Linked DNA regions of Macaca fascicularis. The protein of the gene in region 2 interacts with the protein of the main gene of each other region in a pairwise test. Links are inferred from orthologs where the notes say so. Each region holds a gene or a part of one and is shown on either strand. Other genes may lie near its edges.

Region 1 (7,238 bases), on a different chromosome or scaffold from region 2:
GGAAGGTGTGAGGATTCTCCCAGGTGCCCACAGAGACTGGTACCTCCCCTCCTTCCAAACTCAGGAAGCTCCCATCAGTCCCTACACTGAAGGTTCAGCTCTGTCCCTCCAAACCAGACCTGGGGCACGGGCCTCCAGGACACAGAGGTAGGAGAGATGGTGCCCGAGAGACACAGGGGCAAAAGCAGGAAAAGGACTGAGTCCTGGGCAAGATAGACATGTCACACACAGATGCCCGAGGTGTGGGAGGGCTCTACTGCTGGAGATTTGAAGAAGGGAGAGAGATCTGGGATGATCCAGACACCAGTCTCTTGCCCTCTCAGAAAATTATTCCTTGATGTCTGACTCAGGCTTTCCCAGCACTGGCCTAGGAGAGACTTTAACAAGTCCTTAATCTGTCCCTGGCTCCCTGATACTGTTGAGCACTGTTCTTTACTGAATGTGATTCATGTGACACTCAAACTGAGTATCCGTGAGGAGAGTGTCGCACGGAGTAGAGAGAGAGGTACCATGTACCGAGGCAGCAAAGGGACTCAGTGAGTGTCAGGAGAAGCCTCTTACCCCCTCTGGCCCTCAACTGCTTTATCTATAAAATGTGGCTCACCCTATCTTGCTGGTCTGAGGGCAGAGCCGATGATCTCTTGAGGTCTCTTCCAGCACATCTTGAGATCTGTGATTTTATGGAGCTAATTTTGGTTCTGCCTCTAAACAATTGTGTGACTCCAGGTAAGTCCCTTCCCCTCTTTGCGGCCTGTTTTCTTACCTACAAAATGAGTTTAGATGAGATCTCAGAGGTCTTTTCAGTTCCAGCAAAATGGAGGAATCATCATAAATATGCTTATTACATGCAAAGTTTTCTTTTTCTATGAATATAACACTACAGAGTGGGTACGAATATTGCTACCATTTTGCAGATGAGGAAACCGAGGCACAGAGAGAAGTAATGGCTGAAGGCTCACAGCTAGTAAGTAGCAGAGTATGATTCAAACTGAGGCTCTTAATTACTGTACCATCTGTCTCTTAGGCTGGAGTCCAATGCCAAAGAAAATGCTGCTTTGAGTGAGGGGTGTCCCTGGCACAGGCAGATTGTCATCCTCCTTCTCATTACCAGTGTTCTCATACACAAATCCGCTTTCCAGGTCTCTCCCAACTGATTCCTGTCCCATGCACTCAATTCTCAAGCTTTACGGAACTGGAGCCCCAGGGATGAGGGACAAAGGATGGAAATGAGTAGGTGGGAGCAGCATTGGGAGGGTGTCCATCTGGTAGACTGAGGCATCGGAACTGGAGAGAAGAGATGGCAGGCTGGATCAAGGGACCATAAATATGGCAGAGCCATCAGGAATTTTCCTGTGGTCACCTGGGGCAGGAGCTCCCAGACCTATACTTCGAGGTGAGAGAGGGTGGACCTGGGAGCCGCAGGCCTGGGCATGAAGGACTGTGTGGTGCCAGGATCTCCCTACAAGCTACAGATCTTTGTTAGCAGAGCATACAAAGGTTGCTCCAGGTCCTGCGGGGGGCGGGGATGTGCCTTCAGATCACAGAAGCGGGTGATGGGGATGTCAGGGAGAGAAAAGCAGAGTGGCAGATACATGGTCTGGTTGTGTAGCATGTAGGGGGCTGGCTGTGGACAGCATGTCTGTGTTTCCACATGTCCATTTGGATATGGAAACAAGAGGTGCAGACCTAGCCACATGCATCCTCTGTCCCCAGGGTCCTCCATCACACACACACACACACACACACACACACACACACACACACACACACACACACACACACACAGAGCCAACAGTCCCAACACCCAGTCACAGTGCAACTTTATTCAGCCACATAATCATTATGCTGGGTCCTGCCCTTCCTTGCCACCCCGGTTGCCATTTATCCATGGTCTATGTCTCAGGGTTCTAGGCCCCCAGCAGGATGGGGGTTCGCAGAGTCAGGCCGTGCCACGGAGCCTGGTGCCCAAAGTCCACCAGCCAGACTCAGCTGCAGCCCCCCACGCCCTTGATGAGGTTGGCCGCCTCAGGGATCTGGCGGAAGAGGTTGCGGAGGGTGTCTAGCTCCTGGGTGAGCTGCTCCACGCGGCTGCGGAGGCGCTCGTTCTCTGCCATGTACTCCAGCACCTTCTGCTGCGTCTCCAAAATGCGCCTCTTGGCCTTGTCCCGGCTCTTGCGCACGGCGATGTTGTTGCGCTCCCGCCTCAGCCGGTACTCAAGGCTATCTTTGTTCACTGCCTTCTTGCCCTTGTGTAAGGGGCCAGCGGGGGAGGGCGCCTTCAGGAGGGGACTGCAGGGCGGTGCGGCAGTGGCCAAAGGGGCCTGGAGGGGAAGGCACGGAGAGACGGAGAGGTGAGGGCTGGCCAGGAGGCAGAGCGAAGGCGGGACGAGAATCTCTGCAGCCAGGGCACACTTGCTGCATCGAAGGAATACAGGACTCAGAGCCAGCTCCTGTCTCTCAGGTCAAAACTATCATCACCCTGCTTCTGGGAGATGGTGACCCAGATGCACAGGGTTCTCTGCTTGAGACCAAAACTCCCTTTCACGTCCTCACGCTTTCTTTCTTTCTTCTTTTTTGTAAAGATGGAGCCTTGCTATGTTGCCCAGGCTGGTCTCCAACTCCTGGCCTTAAGCGACCGTCCTGCTTTGGCCTCGCAAAGCGCTGGGATTACAGGCATGAGCCGCTGCACCCAGCCAATGTTCTCACACTTTCTGAGTACACTTTCCCTCAATCTGTCTTGAGTCTCCTGTTCTATGACCAGCAGACATTTCTTACAGAAGCAGGCGGCAGAGAAACAAGAGGAGGGGGCATGGTGAGCAGCAGAGAGGCTGGTGGTGGGGGGCCTGAGATCAAGGTAGGCCAGCTTGCCGCAGGGTCTTTGGGACATGGTGGGGATTCAGGGTGGGAATGAATTCACAGAGAAGGAAAGGGAGGTCATGGTGCGGTGTGAGCACAGAGGACTGTGGGTTGGGTTCATTTCACAGAGCAACACCAAGCACAGACTCAGCAGCGTGAGCAGGGGCACAGGGTCCTGTCCACACCAGCCTCTCCAGCCCGGGGCAGGAGGGAGGAGGGCTGACCTGCTCTTACCTTGAGAACGCGCAGAGGCTGGCCGGGTGCTGCCAGGGTTGGGGGCAGGTGCATGGCTGTCTGCCCACAGTGTGCCACTTGGTACTGCAGGGGATTGTAGCCGCCTCGGCTGGCAGCTCGGCTGCCCTCTGGCCCCCGGGGCTCCTCCTTCACCGCCACAGCCCTGGGGTCGTAGCTCCCTGGGTTGCTGTAGATGCCAGGCCCCAGCGCCTTCCTGTCTGGGCCGAAGGTATGTGGAGGGTAGGCAAAGGGCCGAGGGTCAGGCGGCAAGTAGTGGGGGAAGGCAGGGGTTCCGGGGCCCTTGAGGCCTCTGGCCTCAGGCGCTGGCTTCACCGCAAAGAGATCGGAGAGAAGCTGCTCTTCCCCAGACTCGATGTAGGCAGAGAGGTCAATGGAGGCCTCATGCTCACACATGTCCCCCAGATCCCCGGGCCCAGCTCGGCCCCCTGAGAACTCAAGTGGCTGCTGGCCGCCCCGGGGCTCACACTCGTAGTAGGTCCCGTGGGACATGGCCGGCCCGCCCCCTCGGCTCCCCGCCCCCACCTGCTCTTGAGGCACCCCTTGGGGTGCTCGGGTTGCCCTCTCTCTACCTCCTCCTGACCTGGGCCTGCCCTCTCTCGATCTCCTGCCCTAGACCTGCCCTCTGCAGTCTCCTCTGTCACCCACTCCTGTGTGGCCTCTCTCCCCCCTCTGCTCTGCTTCCTTTTCCTTCCTCTGTAGTCAATGCCTCTCTTCTCTTCCCTTTTTTCCCCTCTCTCCCCTTGGGGTGACTCAGGGAGGGGCAGGACACACCCCAGAGGGAGAGATGTAAGCCTTAGAGAAAGGCGACTCCTGGCCTATTCAGCAGTTGGGGACACTCCTTGGTCAGGGTCCAAGCCAGGGTTCTGGAGATGCCAGAAGCTGATGCTTCTGGGAATGCCTGTCCACTCCCTCCTGAGCCCAGGGGACTCCAAATCCTCACCAAGGGCAACACCCTACTCTGAGCGTCCTCCTCCCTCCAACTGTGAAAAAGTTCTATGCAGAATGAGGTTCCAGGTTAGAGTGAAGAAAGCCCTCTTCCAGTGCCGACCCTCAGTTGGGTCTCAGCTCCTCCCTTGACATGCCTTCCTCTGGCTCTCCCCTGATGCTGGGCTCCACCTACTCCCAGGAGACAGTTTCTTTTGTGGCCTCACCTCCCAGAGCATTCTCTGAGTGTAGGCCAGGGTTTTGTTTTGTTTTGGTTTGTTTTTGAGGGGTCTGGGGAGTAGTGATAGGTCCTAGGAATAAGCTATACATGGGAGCCTGCATGGTGCTGGAGAGAGTACGCTCATTTGCTAGGTTTTTGCACAGGGGCTGTGCAATAGCCCAAATATGAGTATGTTTCCAGCCCCAGCTACCTGTAGCAGCCTGGCACAGTTCCTAACTCCCTGGGCTTGGTTGAAGCACCTGGTCAGGACTTGGGCCTTGCACTGCAGGCCCAGGCAGGCTGCTGCCCTTGGAATAGACAGTCATAATCCTCCGGTGGCTCCAGCACTTCTCTCTTCCAGCTGTTCTCTGCTGCAAGAGGCTCAGGCTGGCGCTTTGCCCCTCACCCTGGGCCTGAGGCTCTGCCTCTGGTTTCCTGTGCCCTGGGCTGCAGGGCTCAGGAGCTTGCTGCAGCTCGTTTGCTGTCTTTCCTTTTGCATGGCTGCTCTCTGATCTCCAATGTGTGTCTCTTGGGTCTACTTCCTCTTGTGAGGTTTGAGAAGCCTCTTATGTCATCACCTCTTCCTGGGGCTCTGTTTTAGGGTCTCCAGGAGAAGCCCATGGCTCTCTATCTGCAATTCTTGGTTCTGTGCTGGCTCTCCTCTTCCCTTTTCTCTTTCCTTTGGGAACTCCCAACTGCCTCCTTTCAGAGACACCTGCTCAGGTCCTGCTTTTACCTGTTGAATTTCATCTCCAAAAGGTCCAGCGGAGGGGGGGGGGGTGGGGGTGGGGGGGAGGAAAGGGCACATAGAAATGTTACTGTCTCTTTTATGACCAGCAAGTACTCTGGGTGCCCCAGGGGGGCCAGAAGTTTTTGTAAGTTGGGCCAAACAAGGGCTGGGTCACTGTGAGTGGGCCCCAGTGGGACAAGTGCAGAGAGGATGTGTGTGGCATTGAACATTAAAATTTTAAAAATGTGTATTCTGGTTAGCATATTCCTTCCATCCTCCCTACCCCAACACCTACCCTAGATGCTGTCTGTGCATGACTTGAGACACAGCCAGATATGCTTTCTCTGAAAGCACAGTGACCTGGTATGAGGAGATCTGTGTGCATCCCAGAGACAGATGTCAGGAATTAGGGAGATTTCTCCATTTCAAAGCTGAGCTCTCAGTTTGGTGGCAGTGCTTCTGTTGACCACCAGGTGGCAATATTGGCCCCAATATTTCGGACTTGGAGGGCTGCTGTGGTCCGGACTCAGGTGGACAGCAGAGGGCAGCCTCTCACAGCTCTGGCTCTCAGCAAGCTCCTGCGGGGGGTCTGGAAGGAGGAAGAGGAGACCTGGCTGGGATGGGGTCTTGCAGTGCAGTTCTAGGGAGAATAAGCAGCTTGCAAGTCCTGCGTCCAGGGCCTTGTCTCCATGAGGAGAAATTCTGTCCCCTCCGCTACTTTGAAATAATGATAATGAATAGGCCTTGTGCTTTCTGATACATTAATGCTTTTTCAATCCTTGAAACATACACTTTTTCATGCTCTTTGCCTATGGGTTATGCAGGAAGGTAGGCAAGGCAGACAGTATTTTTATTCCTACTTTATAAACAAGGATAACAAGGCTGAGAGGCTGAGCTGCCCAAGGTCATCCAAGGAGGATGCCTGGTTCATCTCTGGCTGAAGGGATGGGAAGGGGTTGCTATGTGACTTGGAGAACCTTCCTGGCCCTCATTTGGCCACCATGGGGAGAGGGAAGTCTGCATCAGTAGCTGCGCAGGAGGAAGTGGGAGGTATGTAAATAGAGCCGCAGGAAATGAGAAAGTCAGCAGCTTTAGCCATGGTGAGATAAATCTCTGCCCCGGCCTCCCCGGCTAGTGCTGACGTTGCTGGTACGCTGACCTCAGTGTTTCCCAGTAACAGGGGTTTGGCTGGGGCAGGCAGGGCTCTGGATGTCAGGGTAGGGTAGGGGGAGCTCTGGACAGGAAGGGGAGGTGGGGAGGGCAGTGCCAGTCAGTGGCTGGGGGATGCTTGCTCAGGAGAGGAAAGAAGCTCTCCCGGGTCAGCAGGATCATTTTTCCTTTGCCACTGCAGTTACTACCTGTTTGGATGAACTGAAATGATGCATGTTTGTTATCTTAGTGACTTTGTAACAGGCCTCCTTCCAGTGCCACTTTTTTGGTGAATTAAGACTTTCCCAGTAGGAAGGTAGCTGAGCATGGCTGTGAAGTGTTAAGAGAGAACTGGGCTCAAATCTGGCCTCTGTCACTAACCAACTCCATGACTCTGGGCAAGTTACTTAATCTTCCTTGCAAAGTGGCAGTAGTAATACCTCCTTCATAGGGTTGTTTAATTTAAACTGTGAATAACATAGTGTATGTCATGCAACTGGTCTTAGTAAATGTAAAGTCTCCTTCTTCTCTTCCTCTGACCTCTCATTGCAGTTTTATCTGTGTCTCCTTGACACTCACTACCTGCTGCCTGGTGTGGTGCGTCAGTTTGACGAACATTTTTGAGCACATAGGTACCAGGCACTGCACGGGGTCTGGGGATGTGTTGGCTTTAGCCCTTGCCAATAGGGATCACAGCCCAGCAGGAAGGCCCACAGGCAGTGGTTCCAGCATGGCATGGGTGGTCTGTGGAGCCAGGATGCGCACACATATGTGTGCCATGCATATCCTTGGTTTTGTTCCCCTAGCAAACTATTTGCTTTTTGAGGGTAGAGTCAGTTACATCTTTTGGACCTCTTCAACTATGGTGATCACATTTCCTGAATTAAAATGAAGGACAGGGCCGGGTGCGGTGGCTCGCACTTGTAATCCCAGCACTTTGGGAGGCTGAGGCGTTTGGATCACGAGGTCAGGAGATCAAGACCACCCTGGCTAACATAGTGAAACCCCGTCTGTACTTAAAAAAAAAAAAAATTAGCTGGGCGTGGCGGCACGTGCCTGTAATCCTGGCTACTCTGGAGGCTGAGGCAGAAGAATCTCTTGAAC
Region 2 (7,322 bases):
GCTGGTTCTGGCTCCTCCTCAGTCAGCCAAGCCAGCGAAGCAGGGTCAAGAGTGGTAAAGGTTTTTGATTCTTCCTTCAAGGAAATGAAGAAAGGGAACGTAGATATTAATTGAGAAGGAAAAGATAACATCCCCCTTTAGCTTTAGGCCTAGCATTCTTACCTCTTCATTTCCAGGAGGTGAGACATAGGTACCCCCATTTTCGTCTGAAGACAGGACCTCTTGCAGGTCCTCATACCAGGCTTCCAGCTCCCAGCTGGACAGTGTCCCGAAGGAGAAAGGCAATGACTCAGCTGCCATCTCTGCAGTTGGATCAGTCTGGAAAAGCACATTTGCAGGGTAATGGGGAGTGGCTGGAACAAGCTCCATGTAGCAAACAGTCTATGCCACAGGTTGGCAAGCTGGTCTGATGCCTGTTTTTGTAGGTAAAGTTGTATTGGAATACAACCACATCTGTTTATTTACATACTGTTTATGGCTGCTTTGGTGCTACAGTGGCAGAGATGAAGAGTCACGCTAGAGACCATAGGGCTCTTAACATCTAAAATATTTATTATCCTGCCCTTTAAAATTTATCAACTCCTAGTTTATATTAATATTCCCTCCTTGCTTTTGCCCAGGACTTGAAGAAGCAAAGTGCCTGGATATCCATGCTTAGGGGATCTGGAGGACTAGTCAAATTCCTGTCCCCATCAAGGTTAGGCTGAGCTGAAGGACTATTTCCCTGAGCTCCCCACACAGGAGAAGGGAGCACAAATGACCTGGTAATTGCTCCTGGAAACTATCAATAGAGTTTGCAAGTGGGACTGAAGACTAGTGAAAGTTTAACCCTGACTGAAGACTGGTAAGGCAAACCAGTTGTCTTTGTTGGGGCTTTCTTTGAGGACCATCTTTCCATTAGGACATTCTTTAAGAAAAGTGGTTTGCTCACCTTGTAGGAGCAAGCCAGGAGAATAGACAGCCTGATAGCAAAAGCTTGCTCAGATTCAAACCCTCCTTTCCCACCTTCTCTAGGTCTTTTCATAATCTCTTAGGGTCTCAGCAAAAGGAGGCTAAGCAGCATCTCTTAGGACTTGGTTTTGGGAAAGGGTAGGTTAAGTTTACCTGCTTTCAGGTGTGGTGATGTATGAAGATACACTTCCTTCTTGAACACTGTAGGCAACAAAGAGAAATGTTAGCCATTTTTGGAAGGGGGAGAGGCAACTTATTTTTTTCTTTTCTTTTGAGACGGAGTCTCTGTTGCCAGGCTGGAGTGCAGTGGCGCAATCTCGGCTCACTGCAACCTCTGCCTCCAGGGTCAAGCGATTCTTCTGCCTCAACCTCCCAAGTAGCTGGGACTACAGGTGCATACCACCGTGCCCAGCTAATTTTTGTGTTTTTAGTAGAGATGGGGTTTCACTGTGTTGGCCAGGATGGTCTCCATCTCTTGACCTTGTGATCTACTCGCCTCCCAAAGTGCTGGGATTATAGGCGTGAACCACCATGCTGGGCCCTTATTTTTCTTTTATCTCCAGCCTCCTACTGGTCCGTCCTTACTTCTGGTCTTGTGGGGTATGCATACTTGGTCCCTGTAGCCATTTCCAAGGGCAGAAGAGGGCCTGACTTTATTTTTAGTTGCTGACATTTGTAGTCCTGGTTACATAATAGCAAAGTTCTGGCCAACTCAGCTTTCTCTAAATTCAAGGCAGGCCTTAAACCTGCCAGGGTAAAGACTAAACTATAGGGAAGGGAACAAATCGTAGCATTTTCCTAACTCCATTCCCACACTGACATCCTGTAGCATTTTCCTAACTCCATTCCCACACTGACATCCTCCAAATGTGTATTTCCAGTCTGGACCTCTTCCAGAACTTCCGACTCTGCTGTCTACTGCCTACTTGCCATTTCTTTTTCAATGTCTAATAGGTACCTAAGACTATGTGCAAACTTGTTGATTTTCCCCTTCCAAGGTCATCCCCATCTCAGATGACAACTCTAGTTGCTTAAGCTAAAAACCTTGGTATCATCCTTCATTCCTCTCACACCCTGCAATCCAAAGTACTAGCAAATTTTAACTTTTTTTTTTTTTTTTTTTGAGACGGGTCTCCCTCTTTTTGCCCAGGCTAGAGGGCAGTGGCACAATCTCCGCTCTGCAACCTTTGCCTCCTGGGTTCAAGCGATTCTCCTGCCTCAGCCTCCTGAGTAGCTGGGATTACAGGCATGCACTACCATGCCTGGCTGATTTTTGTATTTTTAGTAAAGATGGGGTTTCACGTTGGCCAGGCTGGTCTTGAACTCCTGACTTCGTGTGATCCACTCCTCTGGTCTCCTAAAGTGCTGGGATTACAGGCATGAGCCACCATGCCCGGCCCTTAACTCATTCTTTAAAAATGAGTTTTTAAAACTTTGCTTAGAAGAATTTAAACACCTCTAATTCCATTCTTTCCAATCTAGATCAATTCACCACCATCTCTCAATTACTGCAGAAACTTCCTGATTGCAGAAGGTCTTCCCATTTCTTCTCTTGCCACCCCTCCGTAAGTCTATTCACCATACAGCAGCCTGAGTGAACCTTTTAAAACAGGTCATTCCTCTGCTCAAAACTCTCCAGTGACTTCCTATGTCATGTCAGGGAAGTCATTGGAGGGTTTTGAGAGGAGGAATTACCTAAGGTAATTCCTGACCACCTGATGTAACACAGTAACCTCCATCCTGAACATTCTCCATTCCTTTCTCTGCTTTAGCTTTCTCCATGGCACTTATATTTTGTTTACTGTAGGCCTCCCACTGAGATGATTTTTTCCTCTTGCTCACGGATGTTCCCTGAGCCCCAAACTGTTTGGCACACAGTAGGTCCTCATTAAGTATTTGTTAAGAATGAATGAATTCTCCCCAATCTCTCTTATAGGGAAGGGGCAGACGCAGAGTGGCAGCTGCCGATCCCTAGGGACTGGAGATGCAATATTGCCCGAAATATTTCTCTGCAGGGCTGTCTTCCCTGGGGAACCCTCCCTTGCCTTCCAGTGCGTGGGACTTGGCTTTCATCAGCAGTGGAGCCTCAGGTCAGAAGGCTGCAGAGCCAAACGGGGCTGGCCTGATGCAATGGTTACACAGAGATTAGCTGGGAGACAGGACCGGGTTAAAGAGGCAGGGACTAATCCCGAGGGAAGGACGATACCCTGGGGAGACCCCAAATGGCCTCCTACACTTAAGAGATCCAGGCTGCTCTCTTGTGCGGGAGGCCCAGAGACCTCTACGGCAAAGGGAAAACACACCGCTCCCTGTCCATCGGCACCCCTCCCAAAGGCTTGTGTCAAGGTTCCCCTTTCAGCCCTGCAGGGTCCAGTAGCCCCAGCTACCGAGGTGGCCATGCTGACACCAGAGACGCTGAGACTGAGACAGGATTGGGGGTAGGGTAGGGAGAAGGCCGATGGTGGCGAACGGGCGGAAACGGTTTGAGCGATGGTAACTCAGTCTTAGAGCGGGGGTGTGTCCTGCTGCCTCCCCGCGGACAGGCCTAACGAGGTGGCCTGAAGTTGGCTACGGGAGAGAATGAATTTCCCTAGGGCAGCCGAGGTCCCTTTGCCCAGCAGCACAGAGCAGGGCCCATGCTCCGGCTCCGGGCAGGGGTGGAGAGACGCTGTCGTCCGAAGCAATGGGGGTTTGTAAGCACCACCCCAGAATAAGGGACTCTCCCCATTCCTCTCTCGGACGGTCCCTGACTTCACTGTGGAGGCGTGAGGCCAATCCTAAAGAGCGGATGCCCCAACTCTGAGGAGACGGGAGGGCAAAGGGCAGATGGGAGTCAGTACTCGCCTCTCTCCTCAGGTTCCAGCTCTGATTTTGGCTCTGTCGCTGCCACCCGCTCATCTTCAACATGATACGCTCAGTGCCTTAGACTTAAGCCTCTGACCTCGGGAGCGCCTAGCTGTAATCTTTTACCATGGCCTTGCCCTCCTCTCAGGGGCGGGACCCCAAAACCTACCAATCAGAAAGTGGCACGCCGGCATTGGCCCCGCCTCGTCCCTCGTATCCGCCACTCAGGAGCTCCGCAGAACCGCCCCCGTCGCTCCCTCTCGCTAGGGGGTCGACGTAGTGTCGGACCCGGAAGTGGCTTTGGGTCACGAGGCTTCACGGAGGCGGTGGGTGAGTCATGCGCGCGCGCGGAGGGGAGTGTAGCGGGGGGAGGGGAGGAAAGGGGGGCGGGGATGATGCAATGTTTGGCAACTGGTGTCTGCACGCGCACGCGCAGGGGACTACGAGGGTGGTGGGAGGTGCAGAGGGTGGGGGAAAGGAGAGAGGGCGGGGCGCCAGCTCCCGGCGCCCAACGGCCCCAACGGCTATCAGCGTTGGCCGTCCGTAGTCGGTCGTGTGGAGCCTCTTTGCCGCTTGTCTCCCCCAGAAGCTGCTGTTCCGCCCACCGAGCTTTAGCCGGCGTTTTACCTCCACTATAAGGGACTCCCATTTTCCTTGGCCCCTCCCAGCTAATGGTCATATAGGCCTTTTGAACTTTTCCTTTGAAAGTTGGTATCCATCCACTGGGATTGTCGACATCTCGAGAGTCTTAGAGAGGTCTCCGGGCTCGGTGACTCATGCCTATAATCCCAGCACTTTGGGAGGCTGAGGAGAGCGGATCACTTCAGGTCAGGAGTTCCAGATCAGCCTGACCAACATGGTGAAACCCCGTCTCTACTAAAAATACAAAAATTAGCCGGGTGTGGTGATGCGCGCCTGTAATCCCAGCTACTCTGGAGGCTGAGGCAGGAGAATCGCTTGAACCCTGGTGGCGTATGTTGCAGTGACCGAGATCGCGCCACTGCACTCCAGCCTGGGTGACAGAGCGAGACTACGTTTCACCGAAAACGAAAAACAAATAAAAAAAACCGGGGTCGTCTAGCCCCGTAAATCTCCCAAAAGGGGCCGAGGTACTGGAATCCCTTGGTAGTCATTTTCCGCTTCTCTCACAACAGCGCCCTTGACTTTTACCTTGGAGTTGCTAAGCCCTCAGCCTGCCAGAAGTCATGTATTTTACCCAGTGGACCCAATTCTGTTTGGCCACCTATTTTCCCCCACTATACTCTTACGGCTTTCTCCAATACCAAGACCCTCTCTTGCTGTACCAGACAGCAAGTCCTGTGACTCCCTGCTGTGAGGAGCGCGGCACAGGCCTGCCTCCTAGGTGTTCGGGTCGAGATTTACAGCGGAGTCTCATCCTGGGACGTGTAAGTGCACTTCAGCGCAGGACCGCCGTGGACTGGGGAGACCGGGGCCGCGATTTTAGCCTCAACTCCCCCTCACTTACCAAGGGATCTTACCGTCCTTGTTTGTAAATCAACGAGTTGTAAGGGTAAAATGAGAACCATGAACTTGGAGGCAACTTGAACAAAAGTAAAACGCACCACGCAGAATGCAAAGTATTTTTCTTGTGCCTTGAAAACAGAGGCCATGTGGTGGCCTGTTACATATCCTGTCATACCCTCATGGGGGCAGCCAGAGTTTAAGTAGAAACTGTCACAAGGCCGGTTGTGACTGGAGTGGTGTTTCTGTGACAGGTCTTTGGTTAGGCTGCTCCGTTGCTCCACACCTCCATTTCCCCTCTGAAAATGGGGGTGGTGTGGGGGGTGGACCAGATGGTCTCTCCTGGCCTAAAGACAGACCAGGTTGTCAGTGACAGGCAGAGGTCATGTGACTTGACAGGCCGAGGTCGTGTTGTGACATGTTGACCTGGAGAGGCGGGTCAAGTCCCAGCACACTACCCGGGAAGCCTTTGGGGCGGGGCAGGGCAAGTCGCGACTTTCATCTTTCGGGCCTGGCCCCTCCCGGACCTGGCATTCCTGGCTCCCGCAACAGACTGTGGCTTTGGAAGGGGCCCCTCCCCGAGGAGGGCTGGGATTGGCCACCAGTGGCCTGGGGAGAGGCGCAGATCCTTCCGCGGAGGGAGGGGGGCCGCGTGGGGTGTTTGTTCTCTTGGGGATTAATGGGGGGTTGTGGGGGAGGGGTAGGCGCGCTCCCGCATGCGCACTGCGGCCCCTCCAGTTGGCTCGTCGCTGTCCGCTGGGCGGGGGCCCGGCCCCGCCCCTCTCCCGGCCGGGCAGCGGCGGAGGCGGCGGTGGCTGCGGCGGTGGCTGCGGCAGCGACGGCGGCGGCGGCGACAGCGGCAGCAGCCTGCGCAGTGCCTTCTGGGAACGGAATCCCCAGGGCTGCCCCTGGCCCCCATGGCGCATGCGCGGGAGGCCGCTCGGTGATCCGCGGCGGCGGCAGCGGCGCTTCCTGCTAGGACCGGCCGGGGCCGTACCGGAGGCTCGGGCTCCACCGACCCTCCTCCCACCCCCTCCCACTCACTCTCTGGGCCGCGACTGCGCAGGGCGGGGCCGGCCGAACCATGGGCCGCGGTGAGTGCGGGGCCCGGCCCCCCCACCCCGCCCCTCCCCCTCCCCTCCCCTCCTGTCCCTACCCTCTGCCCCCTCCGCGTCCTCTCGGCCCCTTTCCCCGGCCCCATCCCCACTCCCCCGCCCTCACCTGCCCCCGCCGCTTCTCCCTCTCACTGCCTGACTTCTGCCTTCTTCACCGCCCTCCCCTCAGTGCTTCGCCCACCCTCCGCCCGCCCTCTCCCCAAGTTCCTTCCTACTTCGTGCGCCTTCCCCTCCTCCTCAAGCTGAGGGAAGCAGTCTGGGTGACAGGGCGCCTTGTTATGAGAGGGAAAGTTTGGAAGCCGCCAGTGTGGGGTGGGAGCGATGGTGAGTCTGGGGAGGATACCTGCAGATTGGAGGGGCTTCCCCTCCTATCGGAGGATAGGCTCTCTTGGAGATATCGGAGAACAGGCTCTTTTGGAGTCAGTGGGATAGGAGGTACTGAATCTCTTTGCCTTAGGCTTGAGGGAAAATCAGGAGCTTCTCAGGATCCTGGGAAAAGACTGAGCTGTGATCCTCACCTTTTAAGACCCGAATGAACTAGATCAGCGATTGTCTGATGGAGCAGGCATGGGGGGAGTTCTGCTGGTACCACCCCAGCGGGCAGTTGGGCAATTGCCTGGTGACCTGTGGGGCAATCTGTACTTTTTATATCATCTTCCTGGGTAGGGAACGACAGGAGCCAGACACTCTGGGAAACTTCCTAGTGGCCTAGCATTATGGGAATGTGCCCATACTCCTGGTTGAAGTCTTCAATTCCGAATGGACGGAGGCCTTGCCCTTCATATGCCTAAGAATTGTGCTAGACTTTCTTGGTCCCAGGGAGCTGAGGTTCTGACCCTCTGGTCCCTAGGGACTGGGCTTGGAAAGGATGGTTGTAGACTAAGCCAGCAGATCCCCGAGGTCTTTATAGGCGCTTGCCTCACATTGTTA

Evidence for each region.
Region 1: the proteins of DDIT3 (region 2) and CEBPE interact in binary tests that used the Homo sapiens proteins (3 or more experiments, as listed by UniProt). The link is inferred for Macaca fascicularis from reciprocal best matches to the Homo sapiens genes DDIT3 and CEBPE.

What each region holds. Positions count from the first base shown.
Region 1 is NC_088381.1:90,873,733-90,880,970, forward strand, and holds CEBPE (CCAAT/enhancer-binding protein epsilon), read right to left. Parts: upstream 3,783-7,238; 5' UTR 3,601-3,782; coding exon 3,091-3,600; intron 2,322-3,090; coding exon 1,986-2,321; 3' UTR 1,804-1,985; downstream 1-1,803. UniProt on the Homo sapiens protein: Transcriptional activator. C/EBP are DNA-binding proteins that recognize two different motifs: the CCAAT homology common to many promoters and the enhanced core homology common to many enhancers.
Region 2 is NC_088385.1:64,326,658-64,333,979, forward strand, and holds the start of DDIT3 (DNA damage-inducible transcript 3 protein), read right to left. Parts: upstream 4,080-7,322; 5' UTR 3,965-4,079; intron 3,894-3,964; exon of another isoform or gene 3,859-3,893; coding exon of another isoform or gene 3,796-3,858; intron 1,153-3,795; coding exon of another isoform or gene 1,111-1,152; 5' UTR 1,105-1,110; intron 414-1,104; 5' UTR 370-413; coding exon 163-369; intron 75-162; coding exon 1-74. Other genes in the region: DDIT3 upstream open reading frame protein, read right to left, coding at 1,111-1,152, 3,796-3,858. UniProt on the Homo sapiens protein: Multifunctional transcription factor in endoplasmic reticulum (ER) stress response. Plays an essential role in the response to a wide variety of cell stresses and induces cell cycle arrest and apoptosis in response to ER stress.